Linked DNA regions of Macaca mulatta. The protein of the gene in region 1 purifies or fractionates together with the protein of each later gene. This does not show direct contact. Links are inferred from orthologs where the notes say so. Each region holds a gene or a part of one and is shown on either strand. Other genes may lie near its edges.

Region 1 (5,034 bases):
GAGCATCTATATCTCAAGACTGCATAATATAAGGTTTGCTACACTGATTTAATAACTGAATATGTGACTATCTAAAAGGTGCTCTTCTCTCTGGGCAGTGACCACACTGCCAGAGTCTTGTGAATACATCTTACCTCTTCTACCTCTATTCCTCATGGACAGTGAAGTACCTTGGTCTCACACTTATAGCAGCCCCTCAAAAAATATGTCAGGACTACAGGTGCCTGCCACCACACCCAGCTAATTTCTTGTATTTTTAGTAGAGATGAGGTTTCACCGTGTTAGCCAGGATGGTCTCAATCTCCCGACCTTGTGATCCGTCTGCTACTGGGGAGGTTGAGGCAGGAGAATGGCGTGAACCTGGGAAGTGGAGCTTGCAGTGAGCCAAGATGGCGCCACTGCACTCCAGCCTGGGCGACAGAGTAAAGCTCCCTCTCAAAAAAAAAAAAAAGAAAAGTAAGGAATATGTGTGTGTATGCTATATCCATCCCATTTCCACTTCAGTTACCAAAGCACACTGCCCTTAATAGAACCTAGAAGATATTCTTCAGATGCTACTTTTTCAGATGGAGTCTCACTGTCACCCAGGCTGCAGTGCAATGGCGCAATCTCAGCTCACTGCAACCTCCGCCTCCCAGGATCAAGTGAGTCTCCTGCCTCAGCCTCACGAGTAGCTCAGACTACAGGCACATGCCACCACACCTGGCTAATTTTTGTATTTTTAGTAGAGACAGGATTTTGTTATGATGGCCAGGCTGGTCTCGAACTCCTGACCTCAGGTGATCCACTTGCCTTGGCCTCCCAAAGTGCTGGGATTACAGGTGTGAGCCACTGCGCCCAGCCCAGATGCTATATTTCTAAACAGATAAAAAGCCTAGCCAGGCGCGGTGGCTCATGCCTGTAATCCCAGCACTTTTGGAGGCCGAGGCGGGTGGATCACCTGAGGTCAGGAGTTCAAGACCAGCCTGGTCAACAAGGTGAAACCCTGTCTCTACTAAATATACAAAAATTAGCCGAGCATGGTGGTGGGCGCCTGTAATCATGGCTACTCACGAGGCTGAAGCAGGAGAATCACTTGAACCCGGGAGGCAGAGGTGGCAGTGAGCCGAGATCGCACCATTGCACTCCAGCCTGGGCAACAAGAGCGAAACTTCATCTCAAACAAAAACAAAAACAAAAACAAAAAAACCTACTATGATCTTTCCATACAACCTTGTCATATAATCCTCAGCACTGAAGCTCTTTGGAAAACTCAAGGTAGAAGAGACTTTACAAACCTTGGATATGTGCTTTTATTTACAGACCAGGACCTCTTCCATCTATTCTCCCTCAGTTTCCACTCCAACTTCTCTCAGGTGAGATAAGCTTGAATTCTAACATTTAAAAAGAATTGGAAGGGTCTTTAAATGATCACCTAGTCTAACTCTCATTTTTCAGGTTACTGATGTGACCAGAATCACACAAGAACCTGGTAGCTGAGGTGGGTCTTAAGCATACAACATCAGTTAAGAGCATGGACTCTGGGATTAAATACATAGACTTGAGTTAAAATACTCTCCCACTTACCAGATGAGTAACCTTGGACCTACTTACTTGACCTCTATGAACCAGAATTTCCTCACTTGAACAGAGTTCATACTAGTCAATGGCACACATGTTAAAGGGTGTAGGGGTGAAGTGTAGTGATGCCTGCAATTCACCTTGAAATGTAAAAGTGGATTGGGAGAGGCACACATGGAAAGATATATGATAAAGCAGCATAGTAAAATGTTAATCATAGAATTTAGGTACACAGGTACTTACTATACAAGTCTTTCAACTTTTTTTGTATGTCTGAAAACTGTCATACTAACGCAGGGAAGGGACAACTAATTCGTTGGATATGACAAGGCAATGGACACACAGCTACTTAGCACAGTGCTTGGCACATGGAAAGCACTCAACCAATGTTAGCTACTTGCAGTAATAGCTGCTTAGTAAGACAGGGTCAAACACTTCCTTTTTGGAAAGATGATGCTCAAAATGGAAACCCGAGGTTTTTCTTTTGAGCCCTTTCTATTTAGAAAAATCAGGCTAAGAGGCAGTAGCTTAACTTTGTATTAAGTGAAGATTTTTGTACAAGCTAAGGCTCTGCAAAGGCCAAGGGGCATGGCTGTGACCTCAGACAACAGCAGGCAGAGAGAGTGGCTATGTCATCATAGAGCACTGATTTGGGAGTCAGAAATACATGTGAGCGCAAATCCCCGCTTTACCATTACTAAAACGAGTGTCAAGTATATGGTGAAGTGCCCTCTCCCCAACTCAATATTTTCACCTGCCAAAAACCAATAATGTATGTGAAAGTACTTGGCATCACTAGCACTCAGAAAAAGGAGATTTAATTGGAATGGTCAAAAAGGATGCTTGGAGGGATAAATAAACCAGATTGCTCTTCTCCCTAATTCCCACTTCTCTCCCTCAGCTCCCGGGTCCTGGGAACCAAAACGAGCTTTTAAAGTTTAGTCAATTCCCTACTTTAAACCGTCCCACGGCCTGCCAGTGCGTTCACAATAAAATCCAATTTCCTTACCGTGGCCGACAAAGTTCTGCAGTAACTAACCCCACCAAGATAATCATTTTTGTTTATTGATGTACACGTTTATCGTCTCTCACTACACTAAAATGTAACCTCCTATCTTATCTCCCGCTGTATCCCGGGAAATAAGTGTCGCGAATAGAGCTCAGCATGGATTAAGGGGACGGGGTTGTGTGGGTTTCCATTAGTACTTGTCCATGAGTTGAAGCAAACCGTCAACTGGCCCCAGTGGGTGGTCATTAGTTTTCCTGGGGCGGCCCCTCACCCAGCTCCAGGGCGGCGCCCCTCCCCGAGCCCCTGGCCTATTTTCACTTCCCTGAGGCAACTATGGCGGGAGACCCCTGGCGCGCGCATCCCGCCCCGAGCCACCGACTTCAGCAGCTCTCTCGCCGCAGCAGCCCTGCTCGGAGCCCCCAACTCCCTGGTCCGCTGGCCACACCTCTCGCGCGTTCTCCTGGCCCACGAGCCCTGAGGCCGCCTGCTTGGCCAAGCCGCTCTCGTCCAGCCCCAGCCCTTTCACGTGGCTGTGGGAAGCGATGCGCTGCGTTTTCGTGGTGCTCTTCACCTCCTCAATTTTCATTTTGCGGACGCCGGGAGCTAAAACCAGCGTGGAAAACCAGCAGATAGGACAGTGCGCCCAGCGCCCGAGTTACCATGCGGCCGTTACTAGGGCAATTTGCAAAGGCCCGCCTAGGTTGGCCTTCCATTGGTGGAAGCGGGAACGCCTCCGCTCTCCATAGGCTCACGGCTGCGCCCATCGCGGCTGCTGCTGGAGCTCCAGTCACTCACTTCCGGCTGTGTCTCTGGGTTGGCTTCCCCCGCAGCCGGCGCTTCCTGCCCAGGCTGGGGTCGGTAGCACAGTGGGACCACGCCCCGGATTTGATTTCGGGCTGGGGCGTTGCACGAGGTAGTGGCCCCCGGGTACCACTCCTAATCCTTCCGTCCTATCCATTATCACGTTTGAACGTCATACTCTTACGCGAAGCTCAAGTTATTATTTCCGTTTTGGAAATAGAAGAACTGAGGTTCAGAGCTTAAACTGAGATTGGTTACTAACCAATGTTTTCTGACTCCCAGACCTTTGCATCTCGTCTGGAAAGGCCCAGCGCAACCCACCACTCCTTCCGTGGAATTGTCTTCCCCTGCTTCTAATCTCCATCCTCCGCCGAGAGATAAGGTTCCTGCTAAGTTCAGTTCAGTTGACTGTAAATAACATTTTGCAGTTTTCAAAACTCTACAGCCCTGTAAGGTAGTGTAATTACGAATGCAGCTACAGACAAGCAGAAAGAGGCCCATCCGCCCAAGAAAGCACCACAAAGAATCAGAACTAGAAATCTTCAGGCTTCAAAACCTATATAATAATGCTCATACTGTCCCATTATTTCAGCTGAGACAATCAGCCAGCAAATTGTCCCTTCAGGTTTCATAATGATATTCGCACAACCTGCACCACAATTGTACTTGTCATCCATCCATCCATCCATCCATTTAACAAACACGAGCCAGACACCACAATGCACTGGGGATACAGGGATAAAAGTCTTGATGAGCTTACTCCTTGCTTAGAAAACTTGTAACATGAGATGTGGTGAGACAGGTACACCCAGGTGGCAAGAAGACCAGAGCAGAAGCCCCAGGAACAGCCTGGAGAGCCAGGGAAAGCACCATGAAGGTGATGTTGCCTTGGCTGAATTCTGACAAATGGGCGAGATTTCCTCAGAAGCAAATGGTATGACACCATTTTTACAGAAGAAGATACTAACATCCAGAGGAAGGGAAGGACTTGCCCAGAGTGCAGGAGAGTTTATATTAGAATTGAGACAGACCTGAAATCACACTTCCTTGTACATCTTGATTCTAAGTTTTGAATCTAGGTTTCTATATTTTTTTTCTTTTCTTTTGAATCTAGGCTTCTAGTGATTTGCATAATTACTGGGTCAATGTTTGTCTCTCCCAGTAAACTGCAGGCCTTTTGAGGGTGTAGACCACATTTGATTGTTTACCATTTTAACCTAAGTGCCTGGCACACAGCCTAAAACACAGCTCACAATTAAGGCTTCTCATGAATTCAATTAATGTTCTAGACCACACACAAACACATACACTTGAATTTATCAGTTTTGCTGCATGTATTTTATACGGTGGCTTTTGTAGGTCTTGGTAATGATTTCCATCAGAGAATGGAATCTTCTGGCATTTTCAGGGCCCAAAAGAACAGAGGCTCAGGCGGCCTTGGAAGGCTGAGGTTGTTACTAGTGGCATGTGGTTCATCAGCACTAGAGACAGCACCTCACAAAGTTGCTTAGCCCCTCATTGACTTGTTCCTGGTCATTACTCTTAGATAAGAAGCAATTCCTTTTTCTGTATGGAGAAGGAAAATTTTCCACCAACTAGTAGTCAAAGTGAAGCATTCTATGGGACTGACTTCTTTGTGTATTGTCCAATTAGGGAAAAAACCA
Region 2 (3,845 bases), on another chromosome or scaffold:
AAGCTGTTAATTCCAACTACCACCAGAACTCGGTACTTTCAAATAAGAAAGCCTGCTTCTCTTCAATAAAATGGAGATAGTATATCCCCAATGATGTTACTGAGCACTTAACAATTTCAATTTCAGACTTCAAAGCAGGGCCTAGCACGTAGCACTATTAGCTTCAGAGTTTAAATTCGGAGTTCATTATGTGGATATACAGGACATTCCTACCTATTCTCTCCCTCCCCAAGTCCACCACACTAACAGCATACTAGTGCAGTGCTGTCACACAGCAAGCAAAGTCAATGCACAAACTGAAATGCTCCCACTCCAGCTCCTGACAACTTTTTAAATTAAAACTTTAGTAGCTTATTATATAACATTAAAAATATATACTTGGTCTATCTCACTTTGTTGATCTAGATTTGACAGGTCAGTCACAAAGAAATGTGCTTAGTTATTGCTGCTAGATATTCAAAACAAATTCATATTACAATCAAGCCAATTTAATACACAACTAGTTTGGGATATGACCTTTATTGAGCTTATCCACCAGAGTGGAAATAATGTCTGTACAAAACCAAATGTTTGTTACTATAACTTCTGCATCACAATTAAAATCCAAACAGTTTTTTAAAAACAGTCAACTCAATCAAAACCCACTACTTCAGAATCAATAGCTTCTTTGAAGCCACAGTAACACTTAAATATGGTTAAGACTCGAATGCAGAAATTTGGTTGGTTGGAAAGCTAATTAAACTTCCAACTTGCTCAAATAGAATTACAAAAAGGCAAAATTGTGTTTTTCACAGAGATACAGTCCACTGGAATCACCAACACTGGACAGCTGTTAGAGTATTTAGAGTCCTGAGATAACAAGGAATCCAGGCATCCTTTAGACAGTCTTCTGTTGTCCTTTCTTCCCAATCAGAGATTTGTGGATGTGTGGAATGACACCTAGGAGAGTGACAGGAATTAATTCTACTTAAGATTTTTTTTTTAAAATCACAGTATTTGAAACCAAAAAAAGTATACTGTTCAAGTATCTTTAAAAACGTGCAGCTCAAGTATGAAGTAAAAATTCAGTTATACATATGAATCAAATTTCATGATAAAACCATACTTGCATCAATGAAAATATACTTAAATTTTCTCTTCTAGAAAAACTAATGAAATTAAAGCAGCAAAGAATTCCTTCCTCTGAAGAAATTTTTAAAAATTTTAGAAGTTAACATACCACCACCAGCAATTGTAGCCTTGATGAGCGAATCCAATTCTTCATCTCCACGAATAGCAAGTTGCAAGTGACGAGGGGTAATACGCTTTACCTTTAAGTCTTTTGATGCATTTCCTGCCAGTTCAAGTACCTAGAAGGCAGAATCTAATCAGTTCCCTTCCAACTTTCCTTTGGCCAAGATTCAGAGAACAGAATAAAACCCTCACAAACGCTTATCTACCAACTGGAGTCGTTCCCCACTATCTGACTGGCAAGATATACAGGGGGCACGCAATTTTAATTCCAAGAGCAGAGAACTCAAGCTCAGTAGGATCCTTGTTGAACAGCAGCTCCCTCTAGCGTTCTCTTAGGCCTCTCGCCGCGTTCAGGGCCTGTGAGTTTTCTTGCATCACTTTCCTCCTTCCCTCTTGCCGTCTCCCCGCCCCCCAAACCTTCTCCGGATTATAGGCGTTCACCCATTTACCTCTGCGGTGAGGTACTCCAGGATGGCTGCGCTGTACACAGCGGCAGTCGCGCCCACACGTCCATGACTGGTCGTCCTAGATTTCAGGTGTCGATGAATACGGCCCACTGGGAACTTAAATTTTAAGCATACACAAACATAAATGCACAAAAATAGGAGAACTAGAGATGGGGAAATTATATGCGCGCCAAAGCAAGTGGCACGGGCGCAGCAACGCGTCCCGACATCGAAACACGTGATTCCTCCCCCCCATATTTATCGTATGGGCAGCCCAAGTCGCGACACCGCATCACCCACGCATAGACGAAACGCCCATGGAGAGCGGTGAATAACAAAAAAGGAGATGCAAAGAAAAACATCACGACTCCCAGACCGCACGAACAACTACTGACCTGCAAGCCGGCTCTCTGCGAGCGGGAAACCGCCTTTGTCTTGGCCTTTCCGGAGTCCTTTCCAGCCTTACCGCCAGCCTGCGGCGCGCACACGCCCGCGAGCGGAGGAGGAACGGAGAATATAGAATTACCAAGGCGGCGCGCCCATCCCCCACCGCGGCGCGTCCCGCCGCGAGCGCGTCCCCGCACCCCGCCGGGGTCTCTGGCCCGCGGCGCGCCGCAGGGGCGACCCCGCCCGTCCGCCCCCCGCCGCGCGCTCGCCGCGGCCGCGCGCCTCCGCCCGCCCGCCGGCCCCCAGCGGCGCTGCGCGCGCCACCCAACCGTCGCCGCCCGCCGCGAGATCCGAGGCTGCTCCGCTAGCAGCCGACAAAACACCTCCCCCCGCTCTTCTTAATCCTGTCTCCGCGCGTTCCCAACCGTCGCCACTTCACCCCCATCCCCCGTGTAACGGGTTTTTCTCCCGCCGGCAAAAACCCGCGAAGTCATCGAGCGTCTCTGCGAAGTTTACCATTTCGAATTCTGCTGAAGCTCAAGCAAGCAAGGCAGAGAAAAGGCTAATCGGACCCACGGTGAGATCCCACCACCTACTCCTTCGTCGCACCGCGATTCAAACTGCGCTGTCTCCCGCCTTCCCTGCTCCCTTTATACTGCAGAATGTTCCCTCATCCGGGAACTCGGATTGCTCATCCCACCAATGGCTGCCACCCGCCCTCGGGACGCGTCCTTGAGACTTCAGCCAATGAGCAAGCAAAGAAAAGGGTGGAGGGGCGGGCGCTTCTAAGCTCAAGCCGCGATTGGGACGTGAGGAGCGAAGCGGGGGAGGGCGGAGGGATGGGAACGGGGGAGAAGAAGGGCACCGCGGCGGGAGGGAAGAAACAGAGCAAGCTACTCTGCGGGAGCGCAGTTACCAGCCAGCTGCGGTCACGTGCCGGGGAGGAGGAGCTGAGACCTCAGGGGAGGGGCGCGCGGTAGCGCCCCGGGTCCCCTAGCAGGGCTTTGGAGACCACGTGAAGTCTCGTCCGTATCTAGCACGCAGCCCCCACCGCTCCCAACCCCACCCCCAGCGCCTCTCGGGCGGAGACCTGCGACCTGCAGCCGCCTTCCGGGGCCCCGGGCACCCTCTCCCGACCCTCTCAATCCCTGGCGGCTCTTCCAGTCTGACAGGTGGCGCGAACGCGTCCAGTGAGGGGAGGCTGAGGTTTGCCCTGACGCCTTCCTCAGCCTTAGTAGAGATTCCGTGTTTCTTCCCTCTAGGCGAATCCCCAGTCACCAACAACAGATCAGGACGGGTTGCTCCCACTTTATTTTCAGCCGGGTCTTCCACCTCTCCCTCACTACTTATGAAATCCCCCACGGAATAGTTCTGTAACAGCAAACGGTGAAGCCAAGTCACCTCACTGGTCACGAAACCCTTTTTGTTTACACTTAAGGAGCTTCTGGCGAGGCAGTATTCTTAAATCATAAACCGTATTTTTTGGAGACTACACATCAATGAGTTGTACCTGTAGCCTGATGTGTAAAGCTCATTTAGTGAAACCTCAGAGCTATTATGTGTCAACTTTTCTACAATAAATATTTTGCCACATGACAAATGTTCGGCAAATGTCGACGGAGTAACTCTGACATGATTCACAGGCAGTTACAGAGGGTCGGTGCAATGCAATCAACTGCAAATGATGAGGTTAAAATAATGATACTGTACACACAGTACTATCCTTCCAACTAGTAGATTATTAACACCTACGTATATCTCCAGCTGCTTGGGGACAGT
Region 3 (4,074 bases), about 20 Mb from region 1:
TGCTGCAGTGCTAGCACATAGTAAGTATTCAGTTAATGTTAGCCCGTTATTTTTTTTTTCTGAGTCCTAATGAAATTTCAACAATGTTTCCTTAGAATCATAAAACAGTTGGAGATTGAAAAGTCTTTTGAAGTTTTCTGGTTATCTCCACTGTCCTAGGATATGACTTTCATCTCCTTTCCACTGATACTTAAAACCATGGAATAAATACCGCAACTGGATTATTCTAATTAGTGGTGGAATAACAGGAAACGACATGTGTGGAAAGACCAAGGGAATATGTGGGGGAAGAGGGAGACTAGTGGGAGAGGCACGGAGAGAGTATAAGGGGCACACTCCAAGGGGAGAAAATACAGGGAAGACAAGTAGGAAAAAAAAAAAAAAACAAAACACAGAAAAGATGTCCTCAGACAAGTGTAAGGACAAGAGTGAGAAAAAGGAAAGAAGGGGAATACAGAGGGATCTTAATTTGTGAATGCAATCACCGACACGGTGTAAGAGGCAAACGTTCTGAGTTCTAATCACTGTAAAATGCATGGTTATAAAATATACTCTTAACCTCTGTGAGTCGTTTTCTTTAGAGTTTGCAGCGTGGATTAGATGAGATTAGTGGGATGGATGATCTGTTAAAGAGAAAACTCTTCAAATAAGCGGTTAAGAATGAGAGAGAAAGCTGCAGAAAAAGAGAAGTGGAAAGAGAGAGGGAGGAAAGGGAAAGTGTAAGAGGAATTGTTAATAAGGCAGGTGAGGACTAAGGGAAACCACTGTAACGGTGCTGCTGTGGCTACTGCGGTGACTACTTCAGCACATCAAACGTTGACAACTTGCCAAGTTCGTTATTAGAGTTCTACATGCACAACTTCATGCTACCCTCATAGCATCTCTATGGGGCCAGGTTCTCGTATCATCCTCGTTTCACAGAAGATATAGAGAGGTTTTGTAACTTTCCCAAGGTCTTACAGCTGGGAAGTTGTGGCCAGGAAGGGATTCAAACGCACGTCTGTCCACCTGCCAAGCCAGTGTTGTTAAAATCATCTCTAAAAACCTCGCAAAAGGCTTGGTTGCTAGTCATCCGGTCGGTCCAATGCCTGGGCCCAGGCACCACTCGCCACGTCCTTTCTCCTCCCGGCGGTTTCGAAAGTTCCACCTCTTCTCGAACGGCGTCCCGTCTCCGTGGAGATCGGCGTGGGGCGGGACTTCCTGCCCCACGCGAGAGCACTTCCGCCTCGAGCCGGAAGCTCTGTGGCTCACACCGCGGGTTCCTGCGCGTGGGGAATTGTAGAGTTTGCGTGGCGGGAACGCGGCGGCAGTGAGAGCGAGTGGCGCCGGCTGTTGCGTCCGGTGCGGCGATGCTGACCCCGGCGTTCGACCTCAGCCAGGATCCGGACTTCCTGACCATCGCCATCCGCGTGCCCTACGCCCGGGTCTCCGAGTTCGACGTCTACTTTGAGGGGTCCGACTTCAAGTTCTACGCCAAGCCCTACTTTCTCAGGCGAGTTCTGGGTGCCTGGCCGCAGGAAAGGCGCATTCGTTAGATAGCGGCTTTAGAGGGAGAATGCAAGGTCGAGAGAGCAGTTCTCGATTGCGCGAATGCCATTTCCCGACGTTTCCACAGCTTCTCTTGGTGACAGGGCAATGCCCTCCCTCTTCCAGGGGTGCGTTTTAGATGCTGCAGAAGCCCTTTTCCTTCTTAAGCTTTCTTAAATCCCACATCAAAGGATTGCGGAATCACTTGAAAAAGTGGCGTTTGGACCGTGTCACTTGCCCGTTTCTGCCCTGTCGCCCTAGTTCTCGTTCCATTTTGACTTGTTCTGTTCTTTCACTCCGCGTTCGCTCTCCCAGTCTCTCCCTCCCTACGAACGGCGCGCGCTGACATCCCCGTGACTTCCCAACCCATCGGTCCTTTTAACTTTGCTCAGGCAGCCTTCTGTTGATCCATCTCTTGTCTGTCCCCTCCCTACTTCCTGAAATTCTTACCTTTTTTGGACCTCTTGACACCATATTAGCCTAGTTCTCGTGCTTCCCTGCTGTCTGCTGCTTCTCTGTTTGGTTTTGCCCCTGATGTGTGGTTATTTCCCCCAAGTCTTCGTGAGGGGCCGTCAGTACTTGATCTGTTTAAATTATTCTCCTTGCAGAATCGTAACCTTAGTAGCAGCTAACACTGATCACCCGCAGTGTGGTGGACAAGCAGTTCCGTTAAGTGCTTTGTAATGCCGTATCTCATTTAACTTTGACAGTGTTGCTTAGGGATAAGCACTGCTATTAACCCCATTCCACAGAACCCGCTGCTACATATTCATCGTAAAGCATTGCCAATCTTTTGTCCTTCTCTTTATCCATCCTCCTAATTTTTCTCAAGTGCAGCTGCAGCCTGCTTTTCCCACCCAAGTACTTTTGTGATACAAACCTTCTCCACCAGTCAAGGTGGTTTTTTCGCTGTTCCTGAACCAGTTTTGCTCGGATTTCCCTTATACCGTGTAACGTACCTATTTGAATATATTGCAGTTTCCAGTTTCTTAATTCACTTATTTCTTTAGTTTGTTTATTGAGTTTCAGTGTTGGGATTATTGCGCTGAACAAGACAAAGTTCTGCCCTCATGTACTTTACACTGGGGAGAGGAAAACAATAAACTAGCCGTCTACCTAATTGTGGCAGGTGCTATGAGGAGAAAGAAGTGCATGATATAGAATGAAAAGGGGCCCATATTTTATAAAGTAGTCAGGAACAGCCTTTCTGGGGAGGCGATATTTAAGCCAGGATGTGAAGAATAGGAAGATTATGGTGGTAGCAAATATTTATTGAATTTTTACTCCAGATTGGTGCTTTATACGGATTATCTCATTTGTTATTAGGAGAGTATTACAATGAGGTTTTATTATTTACCCGTTGCCGTGGATGGATTATTTATGGGCACCCCCCCAACTCTTGCCCCCAAATTCATATGTTGAAGGTCTAATTCCGGTGTCACTTCTGCTTTATTGTATTCATCAAAACAGTCCCAGAGCCTGCTGAATTTTAAGAGGAGGGGACATAGACCTTCATGGTTGGGAAGAGTGCTGTGAGATGGGCATTCTTTGAAAATACAGTTTGCCCCCAGGTGTGGTGGCTCACGCCTGTAATCTCAGCACTTTGGGAGGCCAAGGTGGGCAGATCACTTGAGGTCAGGAGTTTGAGACCAGCCTGACCAACATGGTGAAACCCCATCTCTACTAAAAATATAAAAAAATTAGCTGGGCTCGGTGGCACGCACTTGTAGTCCTAGCTACTTGGGAAGCTGAGGTGAGAGAATCATCTGAACCTGGAAGGCGAAGATTGCAGTGAGTCAAGATTGTGCTATCGCACTCCGGCCTGAGTAACAGAGCAAGACTATGTCTTAAAAAAAAAAAAATACAGTTTGCTGTGGCATACCAAGGACGAATAAAACCTGGTCCCTCTCCTTGAAGAACGGAGAGTGTAGCTGGGGAGGCACCCTGTAAGCAAATATGATTTCCTATGCAGTAAGAATTGAACTCTAGGCTTTTAGAGTTTAGGGGAAGGGAGCTGGTAATAATAGCTATTTTCTGAATGCTCACCTATTGTGCCAACCACTGAGCTCTTTGCATTTTCATTTCATGCTCATAGTAACTCATGGATAGTTACTGTTATTTCCCTCCTTTACAGAAGAGAGATTTATGATTCTTGAAGAATGATTAACTTGTACAAAGAAGGTTGTTACACATCTAGTAAATGGCAGATCTGGGAGTTAATTCAGATTCTGACACTAAAGTTAGTGTTTGTAACCATTATAACAAACTCATCCATAAACTGACTCCTTATTCTGGCTTAGAGGGATTTTCATTCTGAAAATGTATTGAAGCTTGAGGAAACCTTGGGACTAAAGGCTCTGGGCTGTTTGGGACTGTCAGGTGTTTTTGTTTTTAATTGTATTTAATGGGAAAGAAGGGGGAGGGCCATGGGAGGAAAGGAAGCTCAAATTTCAAGTTTGGAATGATACGGAGTGGGCCTGAGATGCCCTTCTGATGAGTTTAAATTATCTAGGCAATATCAGGCAGCCATAGACGTTTTTTAAAATA
Region 4 (4,026 bases), on another chromosome or scaffold:
AAAAAATTATGCAAAGAAAGCTGATCAGTGGTTGTCTAGAGCAGGACTAACTTGAAAATGGGCAAAACTTTTTGCAACAAAGTGTACTAGAAAACTGGACTGCAACTAAAACCTACAGGCGAGTTATACAGTATGTAAAGTACCCCTAATAAAGTTAGAAAAAATATATTGCTCAGTGCCTAGGTTTTATACAGACATTTGGTATATAAACCAAAAATCTTTCTCCAAACCTTGAGAAAACGAAGTGACACAAAATGCTATGCTACACAGCTACACTGTACAATATAACCATTAAAATTCAAATAAGTTAAAATGCACTTCCTCAGTCCTATCAGTTATATCTCATGTGAAATAGTTATACGTACTAATGGCTACCACATGAGGAGCAGCCGAAGAAAGTCTGGTATGAGCAAGACTAAAATCTTATGCTGTGTGCCACGTGACACAAGGACACAGGTGTAAATTTTTTTTTTTTTTTTGAGATGGAGTCTTGCCTTGTCACCCAGGCTGCAGTGCAGTGGTGCGACCTCAGCTCACTACAACCTCTGCCTCCCAGGTTCAACTGATTCTCCTGCCTCACCCTTCTGAGTAGCTGGGATTACAGGTGTGAGCCACTGCACTCGGCCACAGGTTGAATTTTTATAATATCTTAGAATTAATCACAAAAGTTGCTTTACACAATGTCTTTATATTAATATATATACATATATATAACCCTGTTAATGAACAATAAAGTTTTGAAGTGTTTTCCTTTCGAATCGCTCTAAATACGGAAGTGGGCAGAACACTGTACCTCATGCCTGTAATCCCAGCACTTTGAGGCCAGGAGTTTGAGACCAGCCTAGGCAACATAGGGAGACTCAGTTACTTAAAAAAAAAAAAAAAAAAATTGTAGGCAGACCATTGATAAGCCAATTCCTTCCTACCATGGGAGACAACCAGTGCACTGTGCACAGTTGCTCCTCTTAACATCCGGTTCAGGACAGCATATTGTATCAATTAACGGTGAAATTCGTCGACAGACACTGACAGACCACATTGGCTAAGAGAATTTGGAGCTATGCAGAACTCTACATGAGATTTTAGATAAGATTCCAAAAAGCTGGAGAAAAGTAAAATTGACATGTTTCGTAGCTCTAAAGGGGACTAAGTAACTTAAAATCCTTAAAACTACTAACACTGCAATTACAGATAACTCCAATTAAGGTAAAAACAAGCAAAACTGCCTTTTCGGTTTTAATGATTTTATTGGTTTTCTTAAAAATAAGTATTTGACGTATCAAATGCAAACTGCATATTTTCAAATGTCAGAAGTGAAACATGGAGAACTCCGCACCCATCTAGACCTTCTGCATCCACACCACAAATGGTTTTTTTTGGTTCACAGCTAAAATTGTATTGCATTTATTTTTATCTAGCGTTTTTTGCTTTCTACCAACATATATATACGTAGAATATACATAAAACTTTATTTTTCATTGCTATATTCGCAGAGCTCAGAAAAGTGCACGGCACAAAAGGCACTCAATCTCACTCATTCTTACTGACATCTCAACAGCATCTTGCGATACGAATGTCTTACCGTTCAACCATTTCAGTGCTGACGAACTTGTCAAACTCTCCCCATGAAAACAATCAAATCTCAAATTGACATCACCAGCCCAGATTGTTTCCCCTAAGCTTCGAATTTGAAATACTGAACTGCCCGATCTACACAACTGCATTATCAGGTCTAATAAACATTGCAAGCTTTGCACAGCCCAAACCGGAAATCTTTCGTCCTTCCCCCGCAAGAAACTTTCTTAACATCTTATTTAAACCAAAACTCCAAATTCAATCTATCAGCCAATCCTTTCTGTTCTACCTTCAAAATTTCTATCGATATTTGTTTATCTCCATACCAGGCAATTTCATCTTGTCTAAATGAATGCAAAAGTATTCTTGCTGCCTTTCTTACCTCCTCGAGTCTAATCTCCACATAGCAGAGTAACCGTATTAAGACCAATTAGCAGGTCATTCCTTTGCTTAAATCCTTTCGATCGGCAGAGCACGGTGGCTCACGCCTGTAATCCCAGCACTTTGGAGGACGAGGCAGTTGGATCACTTGAGATCAGGAGTTCAAGACCAGCCTGGCCAACATGGTGAAACCCTGTCTCTACTAAAAGACAAACAAACAAACAAACAAAGCAACTAGCCAGGCGTGGTGGTGGATGCCTGTAATCCCAGCTACTCGGGAGGCTAAGGCAGGAGAATGGCTTGAACCCGGGAGACGGAGGTTGCTGTGAGCCAAGATTGCGCCACTGCACTCCAGCATGGGCAACAAGAGCGAAACTCCATCTCAAAAAACAAAACAAAACAACAACAACAAAAAAACCTTTCGATCATTCCTTAAAACATCTAGAAGAAAATCCGAATTTCCTATAACTATACTGTTAAATTCTAACACGCCTCCTGCCCACCTCTTCAACGGAGGAAATAAAATCCTTTAACGCAGAACTGGTCTCCCCAAACGGCGGGGCCACGTGTTACCCGTAACAAGGCTCTCAGATGTAAAGGCCTTCTCCCTCCTCTCAGAGCCCGGGCCATAACAGGCACCCACGCTACCCTGAGTAGTTCTGTGCTTAAGTCTTTCCCTCTCCTTGTCTGTCCAGCACCCGCCTTCCCCCTTTAACGGCTCGCTCTCCCACCTACCTTAAAGATGGCGTAGCCCACAGACGTTTCAAACAGCACCAACATGGTGAGGCCGGGTCAGGGCGCCGCACGGCCCACCACGAGCTGTGGACTCAGTTCAAAAACACCGACTACGCGGCCCCAAAAAGTCCCCTAAGCCGCGGCGGGCAAAGCACAAACGTGCTAGCCGTCCCGCAGAGAATCAGAACACGTTACCTAAGCTCTCCACGCTGTACTGGGACTAGGACGCAAGAACGCGCTTCTCCTTCTCTAAGGATTCTGGGATAGCGACGTCACTTCCGACAGAAGACTGCCGCAGAGATTGCCGTCACTTCCAGAATGTTCCCGCCACACGGGGCTGGGTCGGGAGGAGAAAGTTTGTATCGTGGGATCTAAGGACTGAACGGAGCCTTTGCGCCTTTTTTTCTTTTTTCTTTTCTTTTTGAGACGGAGTCTCGCTGTGTTACCCAGGCTGGAGTGCAGTGGTGTGATCTCGGCTTACTGCACCCTCCGCCTCCCGGGTTCAAGCAATTTTCCTGCCTCAGCCTCCGGAGTAGCTGCGACTAGAGTCACACACCACCATGCCCAGCTAATTTTTGTATTTTTAGTAGAGACAGGGTTTCAGCATGTTGGCCAGAATAGTCTCGATCTCTTGACCTCGTAATACGCCCACCTCGGCCTCCCAAAGTGCTGGAATTACAAGTGTGACCCACCGCGCCCAGCCTTTTTTTTTTTTTTTTTTTCTGTTTTGAGACAGCCTTGCTGTCCCCCAAGCTGGAGTGCAGTGCCACCATCACGACTCACTGCAACCTCCAACTCCCAGGCTCAAGCGGTCCTCTCACCTCAACCTCTCCAGCAGCTGGGACTACAGGCCTGTGCCACCACACCCAGCTAATTTTTTGTAGAGACAGGGTTTCGCTATGTTGCCCAGTTTGGTCTCGGACTCCTGACCTAAAGCGATCCTCCCACCTCGGCCTCCCAAAGTGCTGGGTTGCAGGCGTGAGCCTCCCCTAGAGATTTAAAGGGGAAAAATTTCACATTCTTATTTTGTTAACCCTCTATGAATTATATGTTTACTTTGAGAGAAGCGTGGAGCTGTCTCGGTGCCTGTCTGTCTCAGGCATCTAGAATTTGAAATGCCAGCTACTGCCCTTAGACTTTATCTCCTTTCAAGCCCTTCCTTGAGGCGAAGGCCTCAGAATGACACCATTACTGTCACTATATTTGTAAGCATTCCTGGCCATTCTGTCTGGCCAAATTAATTATTAGCACAGTTTTCTCTCAATGTTCTCCCATGTTTGCTGCATTTGTTAAAATGACCCAAGGGTGTGAATTTAGACTTTTTTCTTGGTTTTT
Region 5 (4,246 bases), on another chromosome or scaffold:
CAGACATAACAATCGTAGCCCATCCACTTCATTTTACAGATGAGGAAAGTGAGATCCAAACAAGTAAAGGGGCCGACTAGAGAGCCTGTGGTGAATTAACGGCACAGCTGGAAGCATCCAACTGTGGCAACATGGATGAACCTTGAAGCATTACGCTAAGTGAAATATGCCAGTTACAAAAAGATAAATATTGTATGATTCCACTTAGATGAGGTTCTTAGAGCAGTCAAATTCATAGAGACGGAAAGTCAAATGGTGGTTGCCAGGGGATGGGAGGAGGAGGGAATGAGGAGTTGGCGTTTGATTTACAGAATTTCACTTGAGCTGAGTGTAGTGGCACATGCCTGTAGTCCCAGCTATTCAAGAGGCTGAGGTGGGAGGATTACATGAGCCTAGGAGTTCAAGGCTGCAGTGAGCTATGATCGTACTACTGTACCCCACAGCCTGGGTGACAGAGCAAGACCCTGTCTCCAAAAAGAAAAAAATTTCCGTTGAGAAAGATTAAAAAGTTCTGAAGATGGTGGTGATAGTTGCACAACAATGTGAATGCACTTAATGCCACAGAACTGTACACTTAAAAATGATTAAAATGCTAAATTCTGTGATGTATTTATTACCACAATAAAAACAGAAAACCACTGTCCTATGAGAAAATGTCCTAAATATTTAGCAAGGCATAAGAAATCTATCACAATATGTCCTAATTTATCTGTAACCTCTCTTCATTTTCCACAACATCCCCTTATTGCTGCTTGAGAAAAGGGACCTTTTTATTCTCCCTTCTATCCTGGCATGTAGCATAGTACCTGACATAGTTACAGGTGGTTTGTTCTGACTGGGTGACTGCTTTAACATTACTAAACGTTTTGTTACTCCCCTAGTAATCAGGCACGTACCTTCACACCTTTACATATGGGCCCTTATATGTGAGTCGTTCTTCCTTGAATAGCTATCCCCTCTTCTTCACTCAGCAAACACCTATTTTAATTCTTTTTTTTTTCCTGTTTTTTTTTTTTTTTTGAGACAGGGTCTCGCTGTGTCGCCCAAGCTGGAGTGCAGTGGCATGATCTCGGCTCACTGCTGCGTCTACCTCCCTGGCTCAAGTGGTCCTCTGGCCTCAGCCACAAGGTAGCTGGGACTACGGGGCATGTACCGTGATGCCCGGCTAATTTTTGTCTTTTGTTTGTTTGTTTTTTGTCTGAGACAGAGTCTTACTCACTTGTCACCCAGGCTGGAATGCAGTGGTGCAATCTCAGTGCACTGTAACCTCCGTCTCCCGGGTTCAAGCGATTCTCCTGCCTCAGCTTCCAGAGTAGCTGGAATTACAGGTGCACACCACCATGCCTGGCTAATTTTTTTGCATTTTTAGTAGACATGGGGTTTCATCATCTTGGCTAGGCTGGTCTCGAACTCCTGGCCTCAAAGGATCCGCCCACCTCAGCCTCCCAAAGTGCTGGGATTACAGGCGTGAACCACCACACCTGGCCATAATTTTTGTATTTTTTGAAGAGATGAGGTTTGGCCATGTTGCCCAAGCTGGTCTCGAACTCCTGAGCTCAAACGATCCACCCGCCTCAGCCTCCCAGAGTGCTGGAATTACCGGCGTGAGCCACTATGCCTGGCCTTATTAATTCTTCAGGACCCAGAAACATCATCACTTCTGTTGGGTCTTCTTCCAAAGACATGTCGCTTACACCTTCACTCTTTCCTACCATTTTATACAAGACTACAACCTCTATTTAACACATCTTATTACTTAAATACATGTTTTTCCCAACCAGTCCAAGTCCTGTGACAACATATCTTTTTCTTTCTGTTCTAGTTTAGAGCTTGGCACATAGTAAAAGCCTCCCTAAATGTTGCACGAACGAGTAAATGATTTTAATTTCCACAAACTCCAGGCTTCCCTGATTGGCCTCTGCCTGTGAATGTGAATCACCAGCTATTATCTTGAAAGTCTCAGGAACTTCAGACACAATTCATCCTGGTTACCCAGTGGGTCCAGAAAGGACCCAAGTGCACAGGGGGCTGACATCGGCCAATCCTAGGGTGAGGAAAAGTTAGATATCCATGCCCCTGTGCCCACTTCTTCCATGCACAGCCCTTGGTCCTTGCTCTAGCTCCCCTTAAGACACAGAAAACATTTAGAGGTTCACTTAACAAAAATATTACAGCTGGAAAGGACCTCAGAGATAACAACGGTAGTCCATCCACTTAATTTTACAGATGAGGAAAGTGAGGCCCAAACAAGTAAAGGTGCCGACTGGAGAGCCCGTGGTGAATTAATGGCACAGTCGGAACTAGAGCCCAGGCCTCTCTCCTCTCTAAAGTCCAAAACATTCTTGGATTTCAGTTTCCTCTTCTGTAAAACGGGGTGGAAAATTAGCCTCTCAGGACAGTGGTGAGGAGCAAATGAGATAACGAATGTAAAAGAAATTACTATATTAGCAACAGAACTCAGAGCGGGGCGAGATGGTGTAGAGAAATTTAAGGGGTGTCCGGAGACATGTGTTCTGGTCATGTCATCTCTGTGAGCCTTAGTCTCCTCATCCGCAAATGCAGGACCTGGCCCGGCTGACCACCGAGACCCTTCCAGCTCTGCCGACCCAGGCCCTGAGGCCCTTCCCGGAGGGCCGGACCCTGGGGGAAAAAAACGAAGGAGCTCGCGGGGACCCTCGAGTTACCGTCCTGCAGCAGTGCAGTCTTCTGGGCTGTCCGCAGACTCTCCAACCAGCCCGTCACCGCCATCTTTCCTGTGCTAAGCAGCCCGCCCGGCCGCTGCCATGGCAACCGTTCCACTGAAGGTCACTTCCGGCTGACTCGGAAGCTATTCTGGGCATTTGCCCTCCTTCCCCCCTTCGTCCGTTCTCATTGGCTCTCCTGGTAAGTGGCCTACTCCTGCCCACCCTCGGGTGACCAACTTGGCCTGTTGTCGACCGCACCCGGGGACTGACTCTGGCGGTTGGAGAGAGACTCTTGGCGCCGGGGTTGGGCACTCCAACTCTCTACTAGCCCCGAGCTGGGATTCCCTGGCCTGCGCCAGCTGCGTACAGGGCGAGTACACCACACCTGCCTGGGTCTTCACCCCCAGCTGCGAGACTCCTCCATTCCCGGAGGGCTCCCCACACCTGCTGCGGCCGTGCCCCATCTCCCCGCAGCTGCGGCGCTGAGCATCCCCATGTCGAGAGGCTGAGACCAGGGCAGGTGCAGGGCGTTCCCACTCACCCGCGAAAGTCCGCCTCCTCAGGTTTTCCTCTGCAAGTCTGTGTTGGAGGTAGAAAAAGAGTATGTGGAGTTTATGTGCAGGTCCTCCCCAGTCTCCGCTCCATCCCCTAAAGCTCCATTTCCTAGCCCAGCATCCCATTTTGGTAAAGCCCTTCGAAGTGGGCCGCAGCAGGAGGGCTGTGCTGAATCTTTAGAGCAACCCCTTTGAGGAATGGGTATAGTTTCCTACTCCTTAAAAGTACCCCCGATGGCTCCAGCCTTCCCCTCATTTCCCCTAATACTCCAACTTTGAAAGACTGGGGAGTGTGAAGCTAGGCTAAAAAGCTAGTTTAACAGGGTTTGAAGAGATCCCCCCCAACCTCCCGCTTCCCCAAACTGGGCTGCTACCCCCTACCTCCATAGGCAAAGGGGTTGGAGATCCTTAATTCTGTATTTCCACCTGACAGCAGCCCTGACCAACCCTCCAACAGGCTGGGATGCAGCCGTACTTCAATGGATCCCAGGGGTATCTTGAAGGCGTTTCCCAAACGGAAGAAAATTCATGCTGATGCATCATCAAAAGTACTTGCAAAGATTCCCAGGAAGGAAGAGGGAGAAGAAGCAGAAGGTGAGATGACCCACTCTCAGAACCCTCATGCGCTTGAACCCTCAGCCTTCATGTGCTTCAGCCCTATGTTGTTCATGTCCAGAATCAGATATTGGAGCTGACTCTGCCTGTCCATGGACTGCAGGTCTGTTTGTATCTGCCTTGTACTAAGCTTGGTCCTGGGTCTTGGACAGGCCATTTGCTGTGTTATCTTCTTTTCTACCTGAACACCCCTATCAATTGGAAAAGACTCCCTGGACCCTCAGGGAATGACCAGTATAATTTTTGCCCTGGGGGACTGGGACAGAAACCCCCCTCCATTACCCAGGATTGTTGTTAGTTGTTTTGCAGCCAAATTGATAAATAAATAGCAGAGGCTTTGGAGGCAGGGTTGTCGGGTCTGTCAGAGTGTAAGGGCAAGAAATGTGCATTGTT

What was found. The genes of interacting proteins can lie anywhere in the genome.
Region 2: the proteins of RUVBL1 (region 1) and H2AZ1 purify together in Homo sapiens (affinity purification with mass spectrometry; 6 studies listed by BioGRID and IntAct, with this or other methods). This does not show direct contact. The link is inferred for Macaca mulatta from reciprocal best matches to the Homo sapiens genes RUVBL1 and H2AZ1.
Region 3: the proteins of RUVBL1 (region 1) and SHQ1 purify together in Homo sapiens (affinity purification with mass spectrometry; 3 studies listed by BioGRID and IntAct, counting the BioPlex papers as one, with this or other methods). This does not show direct contact. The link is inferred for Macaca mulatta from reciprocal best matches to the Homo sapiens genes RUVBL1 and SHQ1.
Region 4: the proteins of RUVBL1 (region 1) and NOP58 purify together in Homo sapiens (affinity purification with mass spectrometry; 4 studies listed by BioGRID and IntAct, with this or other methods). This does not show direct contact. The link is inferred for Macaca mulatta from reciprocal best matches to the Homo sapiens genes RUVBL1 and NOP58.
Region 5: the proteins of RUVBL1 (region 1) and DPCD purify together in Homo sapiens (affinity purification with mass spectrometry; 6 studies listed by BioGRID and IntAct, counting the BioPlex papers as one, with this or other methods). This does not show direct contact. The link is inferred for Macaca mulatta from reciprocal best matches to the Homo sapiens genes RUVBL1 and DPCD.

The regions. Positions count from the first base shown.
Region 1 is NC_133407.1:155,848,957-155,853,990, reverse strand, and holds the start of RUVBL1 (ruvB-like 1), read right to left. Parts: upstream 3,235-5,034; 5' UTR 3,156-3,234; coding exon 3,015-3,155; exon of another isoform or gene 1,919-3,014; intron 595-1,918; exon of another isoform or gene 422-594; intron 1-421. UniProt on the Homo sapiens protein: Possesses single-stranded DNA-stimulated ATPase and ATP-dependent DNA helicase (3' to 5') activity; hexamerization is thought to be critical for ATP hydrolysis and adjacent subunits in the ring-like structure contribute to the ATPase activity.
Region 2 is NC_133410.1:109,266,998-109,270,842, forward strand, and holds H2AZ1 (H2A histone family, member Z), read right to left. Parts: upstream 2,642-3,845; 5' UTR 2,586-2,641; coding exon 2,583-2,585; intron 2,153-2,582; coding exon 2,075-2,152; intron 1,797-2,074; coding exon 1,683-1,796; intron 1,350-1,682; coding exon 1,220-1,349; intron 940-1,219; coding exon 878-939; 3' UTR 501-877; downstream 1-500. UniProt on the Homo sapiens protein: Variant histone H2A which replaces conventional H2A in a subset of nucleosomes. Nucleosomes wrap and compact DNA into chromatin, limiting DNA accessibility to the cellular machineries which require DNA as a template.
Region 3 is NC_133407.1:136,344,080-136,348,153, reverse strand, and holds the start of SHQ1 (protein SHQ1 homolog), read left to right. Parts: upstream 1-1,274; 5' UTR 1,275-1,349; coding exon 1,350-1,492; intron 1,493-4,074. UniProt on the Homo sapiens protein: Required for the quantitative accumulation of H/ACA ribonucleoproteins (RNPs), including telomerase, probably through the stabilization of DKC1, from the time of its synthesis until its association with NOP10, NHP2, and NAF1 at the nascent H/ACA RNA.
Region 4 is NC_133417.1:107,447,649-107,451,674, reverse strand, and holds the start of NOP58 (nucleolar protein 58), read right to left. Parts: upstream 2,801-4,026; 5' UTR 2,737-2,800; coding exon 2,692-2,736; intron 2,159-2,691; exon of another isoform or gene 1,958-2,158; intron 1-1,957. UniProt on the Homo sapiens protein: Required for the biogenesis of box C/D snoRNAs such as U3, U8 and U14 snoRNAs. Part of the small subunit (SSU) processome, first precursor of the small eukaryotic ribosomal subunit.
Region 5 is NC_133414.1:113,662,868-113,667,113, reverse strand, and holds the start of DPCD (protein DPCD), read right to left. Parts: upstream 2,801-4,246; 5' UTR 2,749-2,800; coding exon 2,685-2,748; intron 1,669-2,684; exon of another isoform or gene 1,587-1,668; intron 1,451-1,586; exon of another isoform or gene 980-1,450; intron 1-979. Other genes in the region: POLL (DNA polymerase lambda), read left to right, coding at 3,718-3,832. UniProt on the Homo sapiens protein: May play a role in the formation or function of ciliated cells.